Drosophila melanogaster: one gene and its partners. The protein of the gene in region 1 interacts with the protein of each later gene in a pairwise test. Each region holds a gene or a part of one and is shown in the gene's direction. Other genes may lie near its edges.

The links.
Region 2: the proteins of Act57B (region 1) and vir-1 interact in a two-hybrid assay, tested with the Drosophila melanogaster proteins (one large-scale study listed by BioGRID).
Region 3: the proteins of Act57B (region 1) and CG12206 interact in a two-hybrid assay, tested with the Drosophila melanogaster proteins (one large-scale study listed by BioGRID).
Region 4: the proteins of Act57B (region 1) and AstC-R1 interact in a two-hybrid assay, tested with the Drosophila melanogaster proteins (one large-scale study listed by BioGRID).

The regions. Positions count from the first base shown.
Region 1 is NT_033778.4:20,942,129-20,946,945, forward strand, and holds Act57B (actin 57B), read left to right. Parts: upstream 1-1,892; 5' UTR 1,893-1,988; coding exon 1,989-2,028; intron 2,029-2,715; coding exon 2,716-3,806; 3' UTR 3,807-4,303; downstream 4,304-4,817. UniProt on the Drosophila melanogaster protein: Actins are highly conserved proteins that are involved in various types of cell motility and are ubiquitously expressed in all eukaryotic cells.
Region 2 is NT_033779.5:12,420,383-12,425,151, reverse strand, and holds the start of vir-1 (virus-induced RNA 1), read left to right. Parts: upstream 1-1,712; 5' UTR 1,713-1,829; intron 1,830-3,289; exon of another isoform or gene 3,290-3,322; 5' UTR 3,323-3,447; coding exon 3,448-3,511; intron 3,512-4,769. Other genes in the region: Fam92, read right to left, coding at 1-23, 75-214.
Region 3 is NC_004354.4:3,471,475-3,476,391, reverse strand, and holds the start of CG12206 (uncharacterized protein), read left to right. Parts: upstream 1-1,867; 5' UTR 1,868-2,251; intron 2,252-2,941; exon of another isoform or gene 2,942-3,020; 5' UTR 3,021-3,243; coding exon 3,244-4,518; intron 4,519-4,917.
Region 4 is NT_037436.4:18,558,563-18,563,289, forward strand, and holds the start of AstC-R1 (allatostatin C receptor 1), read left to right. Parts: upstream 1-1,695; 5' UTR 1,696-2,142; intron 2,143-4,727.

The DNA.
Region 1 (4,817 bases):
ATGATAAGCTCACTCGTGTCCTTTAGATTTTAATTAAAGAAGTTTTTTGAAAAAACGTGGGATTTTAAACATTTTGAAGATTCAAAATGAAAACATGCTGTTAAGTAGAATCATACCTTAAATAATTTATGCTCATCTTATTTAAACCTAATAAATATTTAATACTTAAATGTATTTTCCGGAATAAAAAATAATTAGAAAATTAGAAAAAAAATATTATTGAAAAATATAGAAAATATACAATTGTTGTAGGCATATCACTAAAAACTATTATTTTTATACTTATTATTAAAGTTATTATATTATATTATTATTATTATTATTATACCTATTAAAAAGCAATTATTATAAATTTGCAATAAGTATTATAGTAATCAGTAAGGCGACAATCATAAAATAAAAATATGCCCTACTTGTCTCTCTGGCAACTCTGGAGGAATACCTTGCTTGTTGTCATTTGATCTATATTTAGAACCGTCTAAAATTAGTTCGAAAATAATCCTATTCGAACTAGACCGATTCTTTTGATAGATTAATTTTTGCAATTTAGGTTAAGGGATTAGTCATTCTTCCTCGGGAAGCTGGAACTCAACCTTATTGGTGTTATGTATCCAAAGATACATATATGTACGTGCGAAAATACACGTTTTATAGAATGAATATGCATGGGGCCCCAAATCTAATTTAGCGACATCCATTTGTTTTTCCATGTAGTATAGCAACCGAACCGCGCCACAAATACATACATCTGTATCCAAGTATTTGAATACAGCGAGAATTGGGTAAAATGTGTGGAGGAGGAGAGTGTGGAGGATCCACAGCAACGATTGGCCTCACCGGATTGTGCCATAAAACGTAAACATGCCCCACTTAGTTGCAGCCCAAAAATAGATTGCACCGAACCCAATTTAAATGGGTACCCTGCAAAGCCGGCATGTAACGGTTAAGCTCCCCCCTCCCATCCCCCTTACTAACATCTTACAGCCCGATTTGTAAATAAACAATTAGTTGAATATAATGCTCATTGCACGAGGGGCGTAGACATGGGCGTGGGCGTGGATCTTGGGCGAGAGCGCAATGAGAAATATGACCAAAATTAGAAACGAAAGGCATGAAGGTGCAAAGGCTGGGAAATGATAGAGATGCGATTTGACTAAGGCTGTGCGTTTGTGTGTGTGTACATATCGAAAATAGAAAATGAATTTATTACGACATGAGAAAAACACGAAAGTTATGAAAACAACGAGCCGTACGAGAAAATAGAAGCCAGCAACAAAGCGAATATATCCACCCACCCAATCCCCCACCGTAACGAACCGACCCAAAAAGTATCCAAACCGAACCGAAACATATAGCAAATATAGCAGATATAGCAGATATAGCCGATATGGCCGATATAGTGGGAGAACAGGAGAGAGAGAGAGAGCGACTCGCTGAGAATGAGCAAACGAGTGTGAGTGTGCTGGAGGCGCCTCCTTGCCTTATACGGCACTTTTTGAGACTGCAAACGATCGTGAGCAGGCAGCCGATCGTGCCCGATCCCAACCGATACGATCTCCACGCTCGATCACGCCGAACTATACTGCGCTATATGCTATATGGTATTCCTATACGTATAGCATGCCATACCATATTGTGCCTCTCGCTCGTTCGCCTTATGTTTTCCAAAGAGCCCCCTATGCTGAAGGATCTATTTTTAGGCGGATCGGCCGGTGGGCAGCATTATCGCATCCATGAGCATATTTCCTCGCTGTGTGTATTCGTTTGAGTATTTCTTTTGCCATTGGTATGGGGGCGTGGCGGGGGCGGTGGCGGCGGGGGGCATGGCGACGGCGCTTCTTGGACGAGATGGCATTTCGGCGGCGGTATAAAATCCGAGTACCAACGCGGCGATACTTTAGTCAGTCAGTTGTGTTCCAAGCCGTACACACCGTAACTCTTGATTTAATTCACCCGTGGTGCCGTAAAAAAAACAAAACTAAAACAAAATGTGTGACGATGAAGTTGCTGCTCTGGTCGTTGACAATGGTGCGTATTCCCCATCGAACGGATTATCGTCTTGGCTTTTGCTAAAAGAGAAAAAAAAGAAAGAGAAATAGACAAAGGACCCAACAGCGAAAGGATATTCCCGCATCTAGTGCTAAAGTGATCGCAAAGTGAACGATTTTCGAGTTGTGATTAACTCACGCATCCTTCGGGACACAAGCAATTAGAAATTTGAATATAACAAAAAAAATATTCCAATGCCTTGGATGATTTCGAGAAATATATATTTTAAATATTAGTTATTGAGCAATATTTTCAATTCAAGTCAAAGAATCATAAATATTCAGATAAAGAAAAGCTAAAATATTATATTTTGCACAGAATCAAAACCGATTTGCATAAGTTTTATAAAGATTTTTTGTGCCCGAATCACTTTCATAAGTTTTGATGCTTGAAAGCTTTTCAAGAGATCATGATATTAGAGAAGAGGAATATTTCAGAAATCATATATCTTCAGATATTTCTCTATACGAGAGAAGAAGACAGATCACATATTTTCATGAGAGAATTTTTCTCTCCGCCCCAAACTTTTCCAGTTTTTTCGACTTAGTCGCCAGACTTTTTCACGCTGTCCGTTAGAGCAAATGTTAGACTCCCAGTGTGGGAAACCCCACATGAAGCACTCGAGCGCCCACTAATGGACCCCTGTTCGATTGTGTTATCCTGCAGGCTCCGGCATGTGCAAGGCCGGTTTCGCCGGTGATGACGCTCCCCGTGCCGTCTTCCCCTCCATCGTCGGTCGTCCACGCCACCAGGGTGTGATGGTCGGTATGGGCCAGAAGGACTCGTACGTCGGTGATGAGGCCCAGTCCAAGCGTGGTATCCTCACCCTGAAATACCCCATCGAGCACGGTATCATCACCAACTGGGATGATATGGAGAAGATCTGGCACCACACCTTCTACAACGAGCTGCGTGTTGCCCCCGAGGAGCACCCCGTCCTGCTGACTGAGGCCCCCCTGAACCCCAAGGCTAACCGCGAGAAGATGACCCAGATCATGTTTGAGACCTTCAACTCGCCCGCCATGTACGTCGCCATCCAGGCCGTGCTCTCCCTGTACGCCTCCGGTCGTACCACCGGTATCGTTCTGGACTCCGGTGATGGTGTCTCCCACACCGTCCCCATCTATGAGGGTTATGCTCTGCCCCATGCCATCCTCCGTCTGGATCTGGCTGGTCGCGATTTGACCGACTACCTGATGAAGATCCTGACCGAGCGCGGCTACTCTTTCACCACCACCGCTGAGCGTGAAATTGTCCGTGACATCAAGGAGAAGTTGTGCTATGTTGCCCTGGACTTCGAGCAGGAGATGGCCACCGCCGCCGCCTCCACCTCCCTGGAGAAGTCGTACGAGCTTCCCGACGGACAGGTGATCACCATCGGCAACGAGCGTTTCCGTTGCCCCGAGTCCCTGTTCCAGCCTTCCTTCCTGGGAATGGAATCCTGCGGCATCCACGAGACCGTCTACAACTCCATCATGAAGTGCGATGTGGATATCCGTAAGGACCTGTACGCCAACATCGTCATGTCCGGTGGCACCACCATGTACCCCGGTATTGCCGATCGTATGCAGAAGGAGATCACCTCCCTGGCCCCATCCACCATCAAGATCAAGATCATTGCTCCCCCAGAGCGCAAATACTCCGTCTGGATCGGTGGCTCCATCCTGGCCTCTCTGTCCACCTTCCAGCAGATGTGGATCTCCAAGGAGGAGTACGACGAGTCCGGCCCTGGCATCGTCCACCGCAAGTGCTTCTAAGCAGTTGCAGTTGCCTAGCACCAACACTAGCACCACCCGGTCTACTCACCTGTCTCCTGCTCATCTGGTCCTGCTATTTGTGGTGGTTCTGGGTGTGTGGGCGGCTGGTGCTCCACCGGCAAAAACAACAAACACCACCACCATCCAACCATTTGTTTTTGAATGTCATTATTTACCAACGTGTCATCCTTGGTTCGAGAATACTCTTTTGTACTGACTGAACACAACACCATCAATCAAAATGAATTGTCAATCTAATGCCACGGACCGCGATCCCCATCCACTTGTTAATCGCTCGCGGTTTCCTTAAATGTTGATCGCCATTTGATTGTTTTACGAATGAACCGACACCCTCATGTATTTTGTACAGAACCTAACAACTTCCCCGATAGAGCGGATGGGGTCTATTGACTACGAAATGTAAAATAATCTCATGATTGTAATATTAATTAAAACAATTTATAATTATTTATAAATAAAAACGATTTTTTAGATTTAATTTTTTCTAAAAACATAGAGATTTTGGAAAAAATTGGGGGGGGGCATCTAGCCGGGAAAGCAAATCCTAGCCGAAGCTTTCCATCGATCAGTAGTTCAAGATACATACAATATATATGTACATTTATGGATCTATGTGTGATGTGTGAGCTTTTTTCACCTCCAGACGCGACGGTGCGTTTCAAATTTCCCGAATACCATACCGTAAAGCTTTCTATTCCCAAAATATTTCTGGTTTCGAAACGATTTTCGAATATTTTTAGACGCATTCCAAAATGGGTGAGGCGGCGGACAGGCGAGCGATTTTTTGTTTGTTTATGCCATGAGGAAATACGATCGGAGATGACGCAAGTCGGATGGATGATCAAAGGCGGCGGCCAAAACAAATTGCCAATGTCAATTTGTTGCCGCTCTCGGCAAACTGATTACCAGAAATGCATTTCACTTTGAGGAATAATGGATGGAATATATACATATATAGTGTATGGTGGCAATGCCAGAGACAAATGTTCT
Region 2 (4,769 bases), on another chromosome or scaffold:
ACTCATCAAAGGAGTCCCGATATCTGCAAGGTCTTATGATTATTCATTCAGATTTATTTATTTACCAAACTCACTTGGCCATTTTCCGCGTTACCAAAGCAAACGAAGAGCACATCTCCATTAGATGCCTTTCTGTTATGTTTATGCGCTCGTTTATTATTTTAACACGGTCATCTTTGGTGTTTAGAAAGGATAGTTTTCCACGACGAAACATTATTATTTTATTTTAGTCCCTTATATTTGTTTTCCTTCTTTATTTATTTTATTTCGACAATAAAATCAAGTGAAAACCGTTACCAAGGCAACGTCTAAATTCATCTGGCAACTCTCGTTCGAACAGCCAGCATATTTCCAGCTCTGTAAAATTAACAGAAATGTTAAGAACCTACTGCTGCCAGGTGGCGCTAGTATCAGCGTCTTCTGCAAGTACATAGATGGCGCAAGAATAAAGTTTATCAAGGAAATTTAAAACATTCTAAAAATATTCAATCCTAAAATAAATATCTGAATATGGGTACTTCATTTTTTTCCAACAGTGTCAAGGTCAAGAGCACGTTTCGTTATAATCTGTGAGTGTTTCTGTCTGTCATCCGGTGTCTAAATTTAAATTCGAAAGATTTATGACTAATTAAGAGACTGCAAATGATAAAGAAAAATATATATAATTAGTATATATAAAAAAATAGAAAATATACTACGATATTTACCTGAAGATCATAGCATTGTAAATAGTTTATTTAAAAACAAGTCAATCTGATATTTTAAAATATCGTTGGTCCTAAAAGCCAAGCTTTACTCACTTAAATATATGTAGGACTAAGCTGACTCAAATTCTTCTCACTTCGAAGCCTTGACAACCAAATCTTGTTTTTTGGGGAATTTATTGACTCGACCGCAAGAATGTTGTGTCAACGATTAACCGAAAATGGTAATTTATTTTAAATGCTCCTCTGCCACTTAAAGGCATAGTGCAATCAAACCTGTATTTAGTAAAACGAAAATAGCAGTTCGAATAAAACCAACGAAAGTGTAGTTAAAACAGAATCCGGTTCGTGGGACCACGACAAGAATTACAAGTTGTAGAGCATGAAGAGCAGCCTGCAGGAGATTTTAACAGCTGTAGCTGCGCCGATCGCGATTTCAATCTGGTCGAAAACCATAAAGCAACACGGCTCCCAAGAGGCAAGTTCAGGTAAAAGGGGGCAGGTGGACTTCATTGTCAATCCAAGAACGTAGCTTGGCGCGCGTTCCTTGTCGCTAACTATATCCCCGCCTCTTTCTCGGCGCTGTCGGCCATCCGCTTTGAATTTCTGATTTTTATACATACACCTCGAACTCCAACGGTTTTGGTCAAGGGACTGCACTGGAGGACATTCGCGTTCCGCTGGCGACATTCATTTTTGCTCCCACTGACGTGTCAATGAATATTCTTTTTGTAAAATTTCTGCTACTTTTTGGGTAAACAGGATGGGGCATCTTTGGTAGTGGATCTGTTGTAAAAATATAAAATTGAAAGTTCTTTAGTTATTTTTCTTTTTTTTTTTTAATTAAAACATTGTTGAATGCACATTTGGAGCACTCGGAAGACCCTTCTTCGCTCTCGTATTCTTCTCTGCGCATTCCTCCCTTTCCCGGTCTCTCTTCTCAATTCTTTGTTTTTTTTTGAGTGCCAACGACGTGAGCTGGTATAAATGAAGCCAAAATCGTACGCAACCGTTTAGTCCGAAACGTTTCATTAAAGCCAACGCACGTTGAAGATCGCGCGTTCTTCTCCGATCTTTCGAAATCGAGTGATTCAAGCGATCCACAGAAATAACTGTATGACACCGGTAACAATAATAAAATTTATGCAAATTCGCGGTTGTCGGCATGTGTATGTGAATGAAATTGTGTGCGTGAACAATTTCCGCTTCGGCGCTGACAAAAATGTTTACAAACAAACAATTTGCAGCTTGTTTAGGCTGTCTGGGCAATAATTTGGATGCCTAATTTACTTCACGCAGCTGTTTGCGAAATATTTACTTGTGCTCACTTTTATGCTGAGCCCAACATAAACAATAGCTTTCTAAAACTATCAGACATTAAAAATGCTATTTAAAGTTTATAGTTGCTAATTTTGAAGACCTTGAAAAATTTACTGTCGGGCAAGATATTTAAATAATTTTCTGATGTGCAAAAATTCCAGTTCATTTTGAGATTATAATACATTCTAGATTTAAATCAGTGTATAATTATACAAATTCTTTACGGCTTTTTATATTTATCAGAACTGTAATTGGGTGTTATATCGTAAGTTCTCTCGGGTCAAAAAGATCATTCATAATCGGATTAACTAAAGATTTCCAATAAATTGCCGATCTTTGGCATATTCGTTAGTAAAATCGTGATTAAACCCGGCTCAATCAAGGCGTGACTACTTTATCGATGGAATTAAAAAGAAGCACTCTATCATAACCATTTAATTACTGAGAATAGTCTTTAGCTCCGTTTTCATTTCCTTGGAAGAAAATTCTCAATAGCTGCCCATTAGGGAAATAAGCAAATGATGCTTTTGTTTACAGAAACAACAACCTTGAACTAAACACCAAGCGCATTTAACAGGTGATTCGAGCAGCCGTTGAATAGACATAGTTCCATACAATGCAATCGAAGTGGAATTGAAATACGAATGGGGCGACTGAAACATTCAGCAACTGTGACAGGGACACATTTAAAGTCTGAAATACAAATATAGTGGAATAGAGAAGCCCGCGTGCAGCTAACGAAGCATAGACAAAAACTGATTAAGTAAATTGAAAACACAACTAAATTTACAAAAGGTTCAATGAGCAACGGCGACTTTCAAACACCCTTTTAATCGAAATTTTAAAATATTAGTAGCAAATGCCCTTTTAGAACTGCTTTTATATATATATAATTATAAAGATAAAGTTATATTATATTATATTTTTTATAGTAGTAGATACAATAGTTAATGAACCAGTAAGCTATAACGGAAACAAAAAGGTGTAACGAAAATAAAAGTTAACTTAAATGTGCCTAAGAACATTACTAATACGCTGCATTCTGTACACAGTGGAGTCCCCAAATATTGTACCCAGTTGACGGGCACAGTGTAGCGCTCTTCCCACAACACTTGCCGCCTGCCATTTGGAATATTTATAAGCCCAGCGGCTAATTGAGTGAGAGGGAGAGCAAGAGAGCGGTCAGCTAGTCACTCACTCGGTTTCTCACTCGCTCACTCACTCAGCCGGCCGCCGTTTATTTGCCGCTTCCTCAAATCATTTAAGCGCATTTGACGATTGTTTGTCTTTCCGCACAGAACAAAACTGAACAGAATCGAATCCGGTTGCCGGTCCACATCAACGCATCAAAGCTTTCAGCCCTAAATAAACTATACAAATTAAACAAATTATAAGCTTGTGAAAAAAAAAAAACCAAACAAAAATGAAGCTCTTGTTCGGTTTGCTGATGACCGTGCTAGCCCTTAGCGGCGTTTTCACATTGCCAGGTAAGTGAAAGGCTTAAAAGCAATCCAATCATGATGCACTTCATAAATTAACATTTAAATGATTAATACTTGAAAACTAAATGTTAACTTGCCCTAAGTAATACGTATAACGGAACTAACTAATATGCAATTTGTACACATATGCAACATACATATTTGTTTTCCTTCTCTTTACTTTCTCATTTTTATGTGCACATAATTAGTTATTAAAAAACACAGTCAACCTTTTGACTTTAAAAACAAAGAAAATTGATAAGCACCGGGAATTCTGATTTGCACTCTTCTACGTAGTACGTTCCTCTTATACCTTCTTGATCTGGAATATTCTGGTAGAATCTTAAAGATTACCTCGATGTAATTGTGACTTGGAGCAATATAAATAAATTATTATGCATATAATACGTAATTATTAGTAAATACAATCTGTTGGATATGAAAAAATGTTTTAATTCCACTCTGCAGCAGATTAAAGTTTAAAGTCGCTGCCTTTGCCGGATAATGATGTCAGCATGCTGATAACAAAGCGTGGCACTTGACAATCAGCCAAATGCATCTTACAGATACAACACAAGTAACTACAAATGGCAAAATATCAGGAATGCTCGGCGCAGCATCGCAGATCCAGCGTCCTTTATTGTCATCATCAGCGTTTGCTGTTCGCTGCCTTTGGCTGCCACTTGAATGCATAAATTGCTGAAGAAGCTGCCAGCGAATCGCAGATACCCCCACAGATGGGCGGAATGGTGGGAGTGGGCGTGGCAGCGGGTTGGCAGCTGCCACAGCCACTTGAAGTTGTCAAATTCGTTGCTGTCCAAATCATTTGCCAGGAATATACAAATTTTATGCAACACTCGTGAATCACAATTTTTCGGCAAATCTTGCTTGAGAATCATCTTAGCAATGAGTGCTTGAAATTGCAATGAAATATTTCGTAAATTGATGAGACAATGTTTTTTATTACATATTTCAAAATACACATAGTAGCTACTCTAACTACTGTGCATATAAGTCAGATTAGTACTGTTTAAACATTTGTTTTCTCTATTTAATTATTAATGATTTGCGATCTGAACATGCTGAGAATAGAATCATATCCAATTAAAATAATTTACGTAACCAATTAAATCACGATAATTGTGGATATACTGGATTTATCTGCAGGCTAATCTATTCTGGATTATATATTTCAAATTTAAATTAATATTGTTACATTCTTCAACAAACTCGGAATCGGTTGAATGAACTGTCATATTATACA
Region 3 (4,917 bases), on another chromosome or scaffold:
CGACTCCTTTACAAATCCTGAATTCATAAAAACTTCTCCATTGATTAGTGAAGCTTGGCTAGTTTCTTTTCACTGACTAGAAGTAATACACAGTGAAAAAAAAATGGAATTAAATTGTTAAATGTAGATAAATAAGTTGTAAAACATATACAAATGTAACGAAAGGCGACAAAATTCTTTAAAAAATATTTTTTTTTCATTGGCAATCGATGGACAAGTGTCACTCCTTTCTCACAGTGCAGCAAAGTGTGTGAGTGTGTGTGCGCATGTGCAACGGTAATCTGAATTGGCCAACGCCTGCAGCAGCCCTTGTGACTTCAGCGGAGCGCAACAGGCGGAAACAAACTGGCCAAGTGACCGGCCATCGTGCTGGGCGGAGCGGTACCTCTACCACTGGGGGCGGTACGGGTGGCGGTGGCAAGCACAAACATACATAAGTACATACATACGTACATGCATACCATACATTAGTGGTCGTCATCGTTGGACGTCTCACTGCATCGAATTAGCGGTAAATTACAAGCTGCAGCGCCTGTTGCATGTGGCTGCTGCACTCGTACTTTCTGCATACTGCAAGTGCAGCTTTACATTCCGTTGATTGCACACACAAATTCGAGGCGTCTTTCTTTCGGTTTTTTTCTTTTTTTTTCTTTCCTTTGCATAAACACTTTGGTATTAAATATAATTAAAAGCTAAAATCCATTTGGCAATTGTTCAGCCGGAGCGACGAAGTCGCTTGATGGAAAGTTGTTGTTTATGCTTAAGTTGTACATATGTACATATTTCTAAGGCGGAAATTTCTGGGCGACAATGCGACCAATGCGTCCAAAGAGGAGGATTCGTTTGAAACTAGAATCAGCATGGGGTCAACTCGTTAGCTTTTTCAGCTTCAGAGATCCAGAAGTGCATATGTTTATTATATATATATATACATATATATATTTCTTGGTTCGAACTGAACCAATTTGATCGGCAAGCTGTTTTGATTGCCAGCGGAATCGGAATTCCTGCTCTCGTGTTGAAGTCTCAATCGCGTTATCGCCGCACCTGAGCCCCTAAAAACTGAAAACCAGTTTGAGGCCTTGCCACATTCCATTCAGCCATCCAATTGCCACTGCCCACTGTGCCCCGCGCACTCTCGATGTCCCACTGTGCAGCTGTGGCACCAAACAATTAACTTTGGCAACAAACGAGTACTGCGCCGCCAGCAACAGCAGCAGCAACAGCAGCGGCAGCAACAAGACCAGCAATAACAATAACAATAATAAAAGCGACGGACAAGTGCCGACGTCGACATGGGCAGCGACTGCGGCAGAGGCAGCGCCGTCGACAGCGGCTGCGCATGCGCACGTAAACAAATTCTCAGCGGCGCATATTTGTTGCCCGCTTTTTCCTTTGGGGTAAGTTGACTTTTGCACTCATCGTGCAACATGCAGGCTATGTCAAATAAATGCAACCTATTTCTATGCATTTAATAATAAATATAATATATTTTCAATATAATTGAAAAATAATTAAGCAAATGTGTAGCAAGTAAATATTATTAATTATTAGGGCAATACTTGAAATCTGACTTAATTGCGTACTTAATAAGCTAATAAATCTGCTGACAGTGTATTTAAACCATCGCCTTGAAGCTCTTTTATTTTTGTTTTAGGTAATTTCAGCGGCTGCTGCTTTTTTTTTGTGAGTTTCTTGAAAGCAAAAATTAAAAAAACCTCAACAACAACTGGCTTGAGAAAGAGTCGGCGAATGGGCGGCAGACAGAGAGGAAACTATGCGAAGAAGAAGAAGTGGTAAAAAAAAAAAAAAAAAAAAAACAATCCCTGGCGAAACACGCCAACCCAAAGCGACTTTGTTGCTGCGGCTTCAGTTGCCAGCGCGATTTTGAATGGATTGTACGCGCGGCGAGTTCTCAAAAGTCGTGTTTTCAAGCCGATATACATGTGCATATATATACATATATATTACATATAGTAACTGAAGAATCCCAACGAAAGATCAAAGATTGATAGTAAGCACAGCAACATGAAAATCTAAAGGAAAAAAACAGACTGCGTGCGTGTGTGCAATATATGAAAAAATATAGTCCAATAAAAAATCTCTGAATTTTTTGATTTTTTCGATTTTTTCAATTTTTGTTTTATTTTTGTGTGTGTGTTTGTTTGGTATGCTATCAAATGAAAATTGTGTGCAATAAGCGGCGAATGCAGGCCAGCAGCAGCAACAACAACAACAGCAATACCAACGGGTAAATATTTCCAAACAACAAACGAAAAAAAAAACACAAATACCAGGTTCAAGTGTAACCAGTTTCCAGATTCCAAAGAGAAAAAAAAAAATCGTAAAAAACCGCAGTCAAAAATGCCGCGGGCTGTGCGCGCCCAATATTTCAAGTTCCTCCTCAGCAATTTAAATGTAAATTCCGACTCGTTCTTAAGTTTGAAGAACATTCACTGTCGGAATCGAAAAAGTTGCTGCACTAATCGATACGGCTTGCTACATACATACATATGTAGCTACATTAATAACGAAATGATATCTGAAGTTGATTTCGTTACAATAACTATCTTTTGTTTATATTTAAATTGTTTCAATTAATTGCTTAGTTTACAAATATGTATAGAAAAGAAATGATTAGCTGCAAAAATTACAGGGTATTCAGAATTTTATATTCCTTTTGCTTACGACATTCTTTAGCCAGTTCTTTCTGCTTTTTGCGGTGTTTCGTGTTTATCATTATTATGATTATTATTATTTTTTTTTTTGTCTGGTTTCCCATCTGTATTTTTAGTATGCTGGTAAAGCCTTTAACATTTATTCAGCATCATCTTCAACTTAAATGTCAAGCTCGTGTGGCGGCGTCTAACACACTTGGAGAAATTGAAAATACCTATCTTGGTTAGCTTTGGGGTCATATTTAGACATTTTTTAGACTATTAGAATCTCAACGGCTCGTCAAAATTTCAGTCGAAAATAAATAAAACTTTATTTCATTGGCATAAATACATTTCTTGCAGAGGCAACTGCGGCAATTACTTCAATCGTATGCAGGCGGCATTCTAACTGTAAAGCACTTGGCAACGGTCAACGGCAGAGACAGAGGCAGAGGCAGAGGCAGCTGCAAGTGGAACGCACAGGAGCAACATCATTAGCCGGCACTTGATTGCATCAGCTTGGAGGCACGAGATCTAGGCACTGGATATCTGAAATCGGATATCGACAACCAGATGCTGCAGAACCATGGCGGCAATTACTAGCAATGTGTCGCGATTGGAGCCAATGCGCGGTATTTCCATAATCATTGAATCGCCAGAAGTGGCAACGGCAACACCACCACCAGCAACAACAACCGCAACTGCCGAAGCAGAAGCCGCAACAAAACAAGTAGCACCAACTGCCAAGAGCAACAGCAACACTGAAATGTCGCTCAAGTCACAGGCTGCTGGCATGTTGCTGGCATTTGGCGACACAGCAGCAACAGCCAAAGATAATTTGGAAACTAGTTACGACACTGCAGCAAAGTCGACAGCAGCACCAGAGACCAACAAAATCTATCCGCAGTTACTGTTGCGCATTGGCGGAGAAATTGCCGGTGCAACAGCATCAGCAGAAGCAGCAGCATCAGCAGCAACAGCAGCAGCAGCAACAGCAACATCACCGACCATAATCAGCTGCAATGGTGAAATTGCCGCCAGTCAAGCAGCAGCAACAGCAGCGGACACAGCGGCAACATTGCAACACAACAATACGGTGAAGATTCAAATCGAAAGCCAGGGTCAGCAGCGAACACTGGGCAAGCAGATAAGTGTGGTGAAGCTGAACGAGGGCGTGGAGGAGATGCAGCAGCACATGTGCTATTTGGTGGACACCAGTGGCCAGTACTCGCCCTGCGAGACCTTGGACAGTGGCACGGGCAGCGATCTGGAGAATCATCCGCAGCAGCAGCAGCAGCCGCAACAGGTGAGATCACCGCAACTGGAGCTTCATCTGCAGACCACGCGGCTGATGGTCAACGAGGAGGCGGACCATAAGCACAGCCCGCTGGAGACGCCGAGTCCCGTTCCGAAGCGAGCATATAGCCTCACCGATGACAGCGAGGAATGCGATGAGAGCAGCAACTCATCGCTAAGCTGCGATTCCCTGCACTCTGGTGGCCTGCTGCCCACTACCCTGCTGCGGGATATTCGATTCAGGGAACGAGCGTCCGGTCCTCTGGTCACCAAAATCAATGGCAGACCATTGCAATTCGAAACGGATGGCTATTACACATTCCATGTGCGCGAACACGAGAATTTCCGGAGTTTTGGTTCCAATTCCTCGACGGAATACGAAGCGCAGCACTTTACGGATGAGCAGCCGGGTGAGGATTTTGTTGGCTTTCGTGACATTCGAACGGCGGGCAAGCTCGCCGGCAATTCTACAATTAAATCCGCCAAGGGAACCGTACGGGGCGTCAAGAATCGTGTGCGCAATGGAGTAGCCACCTTCTTGCAACTGCAACAGCCCAATGTCAAGGTGAGATTTGCTAATAAGAGTAAGCAACGAAATCAGGTTGAATACTTTGTTTGAGATAGTCTTTTCCAATGAGAAAAACAGCGAAACAAAGCCCATTCAACAATAAAAAAAAGGCATGGAAAATGTGCAATGTATTCGTTGAATGGATACATTAAGCGAATTCATTAATTGCAATTGCAATTTAAGTGAACAATTTCAGCAATGAAAGTCATTGCATTCACCATTGGCACTCAAAATTTAAAAAAAAAAAAAAATGTAAGAATGTCAGAATGTCAATTCCGCCTTAAATCAAAATCAAATTATTTATCGAATTTAAAAATATTTTCAGTTTCGTTTGTATTAAATTAGCGCATGAGAAATTCGAATAAATATTTGAATACCACAAAACTACAATATTAT
Region 4 (4,727 bases), on another chromosome or scaffold:
AAAGCACTTTTCAGTGCCAACGGAAAAGGATTAAAGCAAACTGTCGGAAATTCAACCAGAAGGATTAAAAGTTTTGCTCAAAAGGCCAAACTAAAGTTTGACTCCGAAGAACGTCGACAGTTGCCATATTTTCTGTGTCACTCTCTTTCCAAAGTTTCTTCTAGATATCCCCCAACTCTTACCATATGTTTGCCAGCTTTTTTTTCACTGTCATCTAACCAAGTCGAACTTTTTTCTAAACGAAAACATCAACTGGCTCCACATGGAAATTATTGCAGCAAATTTCTTTCCAAGTTGGGTGCGAACAAAAACGGAAAATTTCCTGTTCTTCTAATGACCAACAGAGCAAGGGAGATAACTCCGGGTTTGGGCCAGGTGGATAGTTTTCCAAGTGCACGGCAATTAGATTTCGACGCCTGGGGCTTCTTAAGTTGGAGCTCTGAGACGGTGGCAGTGCTGAGATATGATTTATTTACCCAAAAAATGTAGGAGGAAACTAAAGATTGGTATCTGAAACGCAATCACTTTCCAAACTTAATTTAAATATCTGATAAATTTGCAAACTAACTTTGTAAACTTTGGAAAAAATATGTATGAATGATTTATATCGAGTGTGATGTTTGGTAACGAGGCAAGAACATATTTTTAATGTTTTTAAGAATATATATATGATATAGCACAGTCTTGCTATATCATATCCTAAGTAAATTGTGAGAGCATGCATTTCTTGTCCTCCTTTCCATGTCATTACTGATTTCAATTATTGCAAACAACTGTATGCAAAATGCATGCAATTAAGGCTAGAATAATCAATCAGCAATCAAAGCCTTTCCGAATTCAAGCTAATACACGTACATTTGCAACTATAATTATAACATTGACTGTCCCAATACCGATATAATTTTAAATGCAGTGCCATACCTGAACTACGAAACAATTGTGCCGAAAATAATATGTTATGCAAACACATTTGTGTTATTGGAATTTGGTAAAAGTATAAATAACACATTACGTATACGGCCGGTAAGCCATCCCATAAACGATTTTGAACATTTTAATTATAAGGAATTATAAATCTGATAAAATAAGGGTATATGCTCGCTAATATATGTTAAATTTAGAGTAATTAAATTTAGGTCCAAAATAACTGGAAATAATTTTTATAACAGCATGATACCAAAGGAAGGTAAAACTTTTTAAAATTTCTTGTTTTAGCATGAGATAGATAACACATGGAAGTAGTTTTGATTAACCTATAGCGACAACACATCTCAATATTATACTTTGATAATCCTTGTTCTTATATCCTTCTAAATGGCACCAGTAGAATCAACAAGCACTTGCCCAAAATGGCAACAGAACTGCAAGCGCTAACATTCGACTGTTGTTGGCCAACGAAAGTGAGAGTTCGTATAAGAGAGAAAGTGTCGGCGGGAGAGTCTCCCTCACCGCGTGCTCTCCCGACCAACTGTTAATTGAGGAAAATTGCAGCTGGGAAAACGGCAGCAGACCGCAACACGCATCAGGCATCAGGCCAATCGGGCGACGAACCTGAAAGCCGAGCACCGAGCGCAATTGTGGATCCGAGCGACTCTGCAGTCGGAAAACTCGCATCGGAAAATTCGCATCGGAAAACTCGCATGCACCATAACAAAATTCGCCGGCAAATGCGGCGCGCAGTATGCAAAACAACACCGGAACGTGCAGTTCAGTCACTGTATCTGAATCTAAAATAATAATATAAAACCAAACTACGAGCAAACCCAGGGTAAAGTAAACAAAAACTTCGCCAGCGCCAAAGACCAAATTCGATGAACGTGCGCGAAAAACTCAAACCAAATAGGGTGAGAGTGGCGAAAAAGTTGGGCGGGTGATAGATAACCCCCGGGGGCTTTTCCTGCTGCCTGCATCCAATCCAAATTAGCGGCCAAAAACGCAAGGAAAATAAACAAATAATTTTACTACCAGCCGCCGTCGAATCACAAATAAATCCGACGTAGAGTGAAAAATAACATTAGCGTCGCAATCCGAGGAATTGCAGAAACGCTTGCCAAATATTTTGAAAACCCCGAAAAGTGCGTGGTGTGCCATTTTATCGGATTCGAAAGGATGAGTGGCTAGATGACACAATATATTCAAGTGGTAAGCAAAATGTGCCTCGAGGAGCATCGAACGGGTTGCCTTGTGTGCACATCTAAAACGATTGGGTGCTATCTATCTCCAATGTGATTAGAAATATGTATGTACTATATAGTAAATAAAAAATAAGCTCTCCTCATCTACATATAAATATAATCCTAATTCTAGTTTTTGAACTTAAATTAAATATAAATATAGTTTAACTTGAAGGGTTTGCAATACTTTCGCTCTGTGCTTGGGTTTTCCATTTTCAACGTTCAAATGTTTGTGTGCGTTGAAATTTATCAGATAACTGAAATTCTGTGCGAATAGCAATTTGTAACTGTTGAATGTCTTGCGTTGAGGGAAAGAGGTTGGTCTTCCTACGAGGCGATGGGATGGGTTGAGGAACGAGGATGCCCGATGATGTGGAAACTGAGAAGGGCTGACCATCGACGGCAGCCGCAGTAAACCAGAAAGGATTTTGGGGAAACGAAACAAAATTTGACAAATTAGGGAATGCTGGAATGGTCGTAAATGTTATTCAGAGAAGTGCTATGCTGAGAATAAATGCAGAAATTGTTACGGAGACATGTTGATTAATTCGTTATGTGAGATGTGCAGAATAAAAATGCCAATTTAAGAAAAGAAATGCCAAGGCCACAAGTAATTTTCTTAATAAATATCCTGCATACATATTAAAGTGCAGCAGAAATTATTTGTTATTGGCTCATTACTCCTAGGGGTGTGGAATTTTGTAAACTTGATTTAATTGTAAGTAATTCCCATTTTATTATGAGAAAGTTAACCAAGTGGTTCAGAACCAAAGCTATGAGCTACTTACAATTTTTATAGAAGCCCTCTATGTTGTTCAGCTATGAAACTCAAGTTCCTTTAGCCTCCGTAGTTCCCCCTTCACACCAGATAACCCGGCGAATGAGCTCATCCAGCTAAGTAAAGTCCACTAAAACCGAACACCCCCTCCCCGCAAGACCAACTAAAAGGCACAAGGAGGCGGAGATAGCCACTGCCACCCCATGACCATAAAGCCCAATCAAAAGGCCGTTGCACTCGCTGACTAACGGACTAACTGAGTGAATGACGTGCCCTGGCCCAATCCTTCAGTCAATCGGTTTGATGGCCTGAGTCCGAATGTGGAGCTAGAAGCAGCACGGGAAGACAACGCAAACAGCAGGCGAAAGTGAAGGAGCAAGTCACGGAGGAGGAGCAAACGAAGCGTTTCAGCAGCTGCTGCTGCGACTCTGCAACTCGGGGCGTGTAATTTGTCAGACAGATTTCTTTTAGCGCCAGGACACAACCCCTCCCATCCAATCCAATCCAATGCTTCCTACACACCCACACTCAGCAATTGCCCACCCACAAAAAATACCGCCCACGTCATTGCAACAAAACTGCTTCCTTCCTGACTTTTTTGGCCATGCTCTTTGAAACTGAACTGGGCGTCCGACGAGGCTGGGATTGCTCTTACAAATCAGATATTCCCTTTAATTATATAATTTACAAATCTTTGTTCGTGAGTTTATACATTACATACATAAAATCGGAAGTGTTTTAATTTGCTTTTACTTTTGCATTTAAAAATGAATTATAATCAAGTTGATATAGTATGCAATTTTTTAGCTTGAAACTATAAATTGTACACTTTTAAATCCGTTTTATTTTATAATTTTAAATCAAGGATCTTAACAGAATAGACATTAAAAATTGTAGTCTTTCATTATAGGTTTGCACCATTGGTGACATATTTTGTCAATGTTTCTGATACCAAGTAGCATTTGGCAAAAATGTGGTTAAGATAAGAAAAAATGTATAAAACACCCCGGACTTTTATTAAAACCCATTGAATAAGTGAAAATGGGAACAGTCTGTGCAAAGGTATTGAAAAAGGAAGGGAAAGGAACGAGCCAGACATTGACATTTCAGTGCAAATGAAGTGATAAAACGTAAAGGCAAAGCGGCGTCAGCTAGAAAATTGCCAAAGTGGGTAAAGGAAGTGTAGGGAAAAGTGTGGAAGAGAGAGACAGACATAGTTGGGGAGAAAGAGACGGACGACTGAGCTAGATAGAGAGGGCCTGGCAGACAAAGCGCGTCGAAAATGCGTCTAATTTGATGGAAGCGATGCATGCCTTAACCTTTCGTCGGCGTCAGGCAAACAGACAGCAGCAACAACGAACACAACGATGACAGGCACCAAATGATAGCATTTCCTCCCAACTCAAAGGATCCGACTTAGCCAAGAACAAGGACACTGGCAAGGGAAAGGGAAGGGGAAAGAGTAGGAGAAGGGACCAGCCAACTGGGAGAGGATGAGCACCGGATTCAAATGGCGGAACAAGTGCCAGAGATGCTGATGTGGCGCCTCCTCAGCTGCTGACAACAAATTGATGGCCAAGGATGCACAGAAATTCCTCGGAAATTAGTCAACGCACAAGGGATTCCCACAAACTTCACTTAAAGGGGAAACCGTTCTGAAATATTAGACCGTTGTTAATATCCCAATCCTTCATGCTTTCCCAAAACAAAATTCACTTTCTTTCCTTAATCAGAACGAAAAAATATCCAAAAAAGTCCCTCAAAAATACAAATTT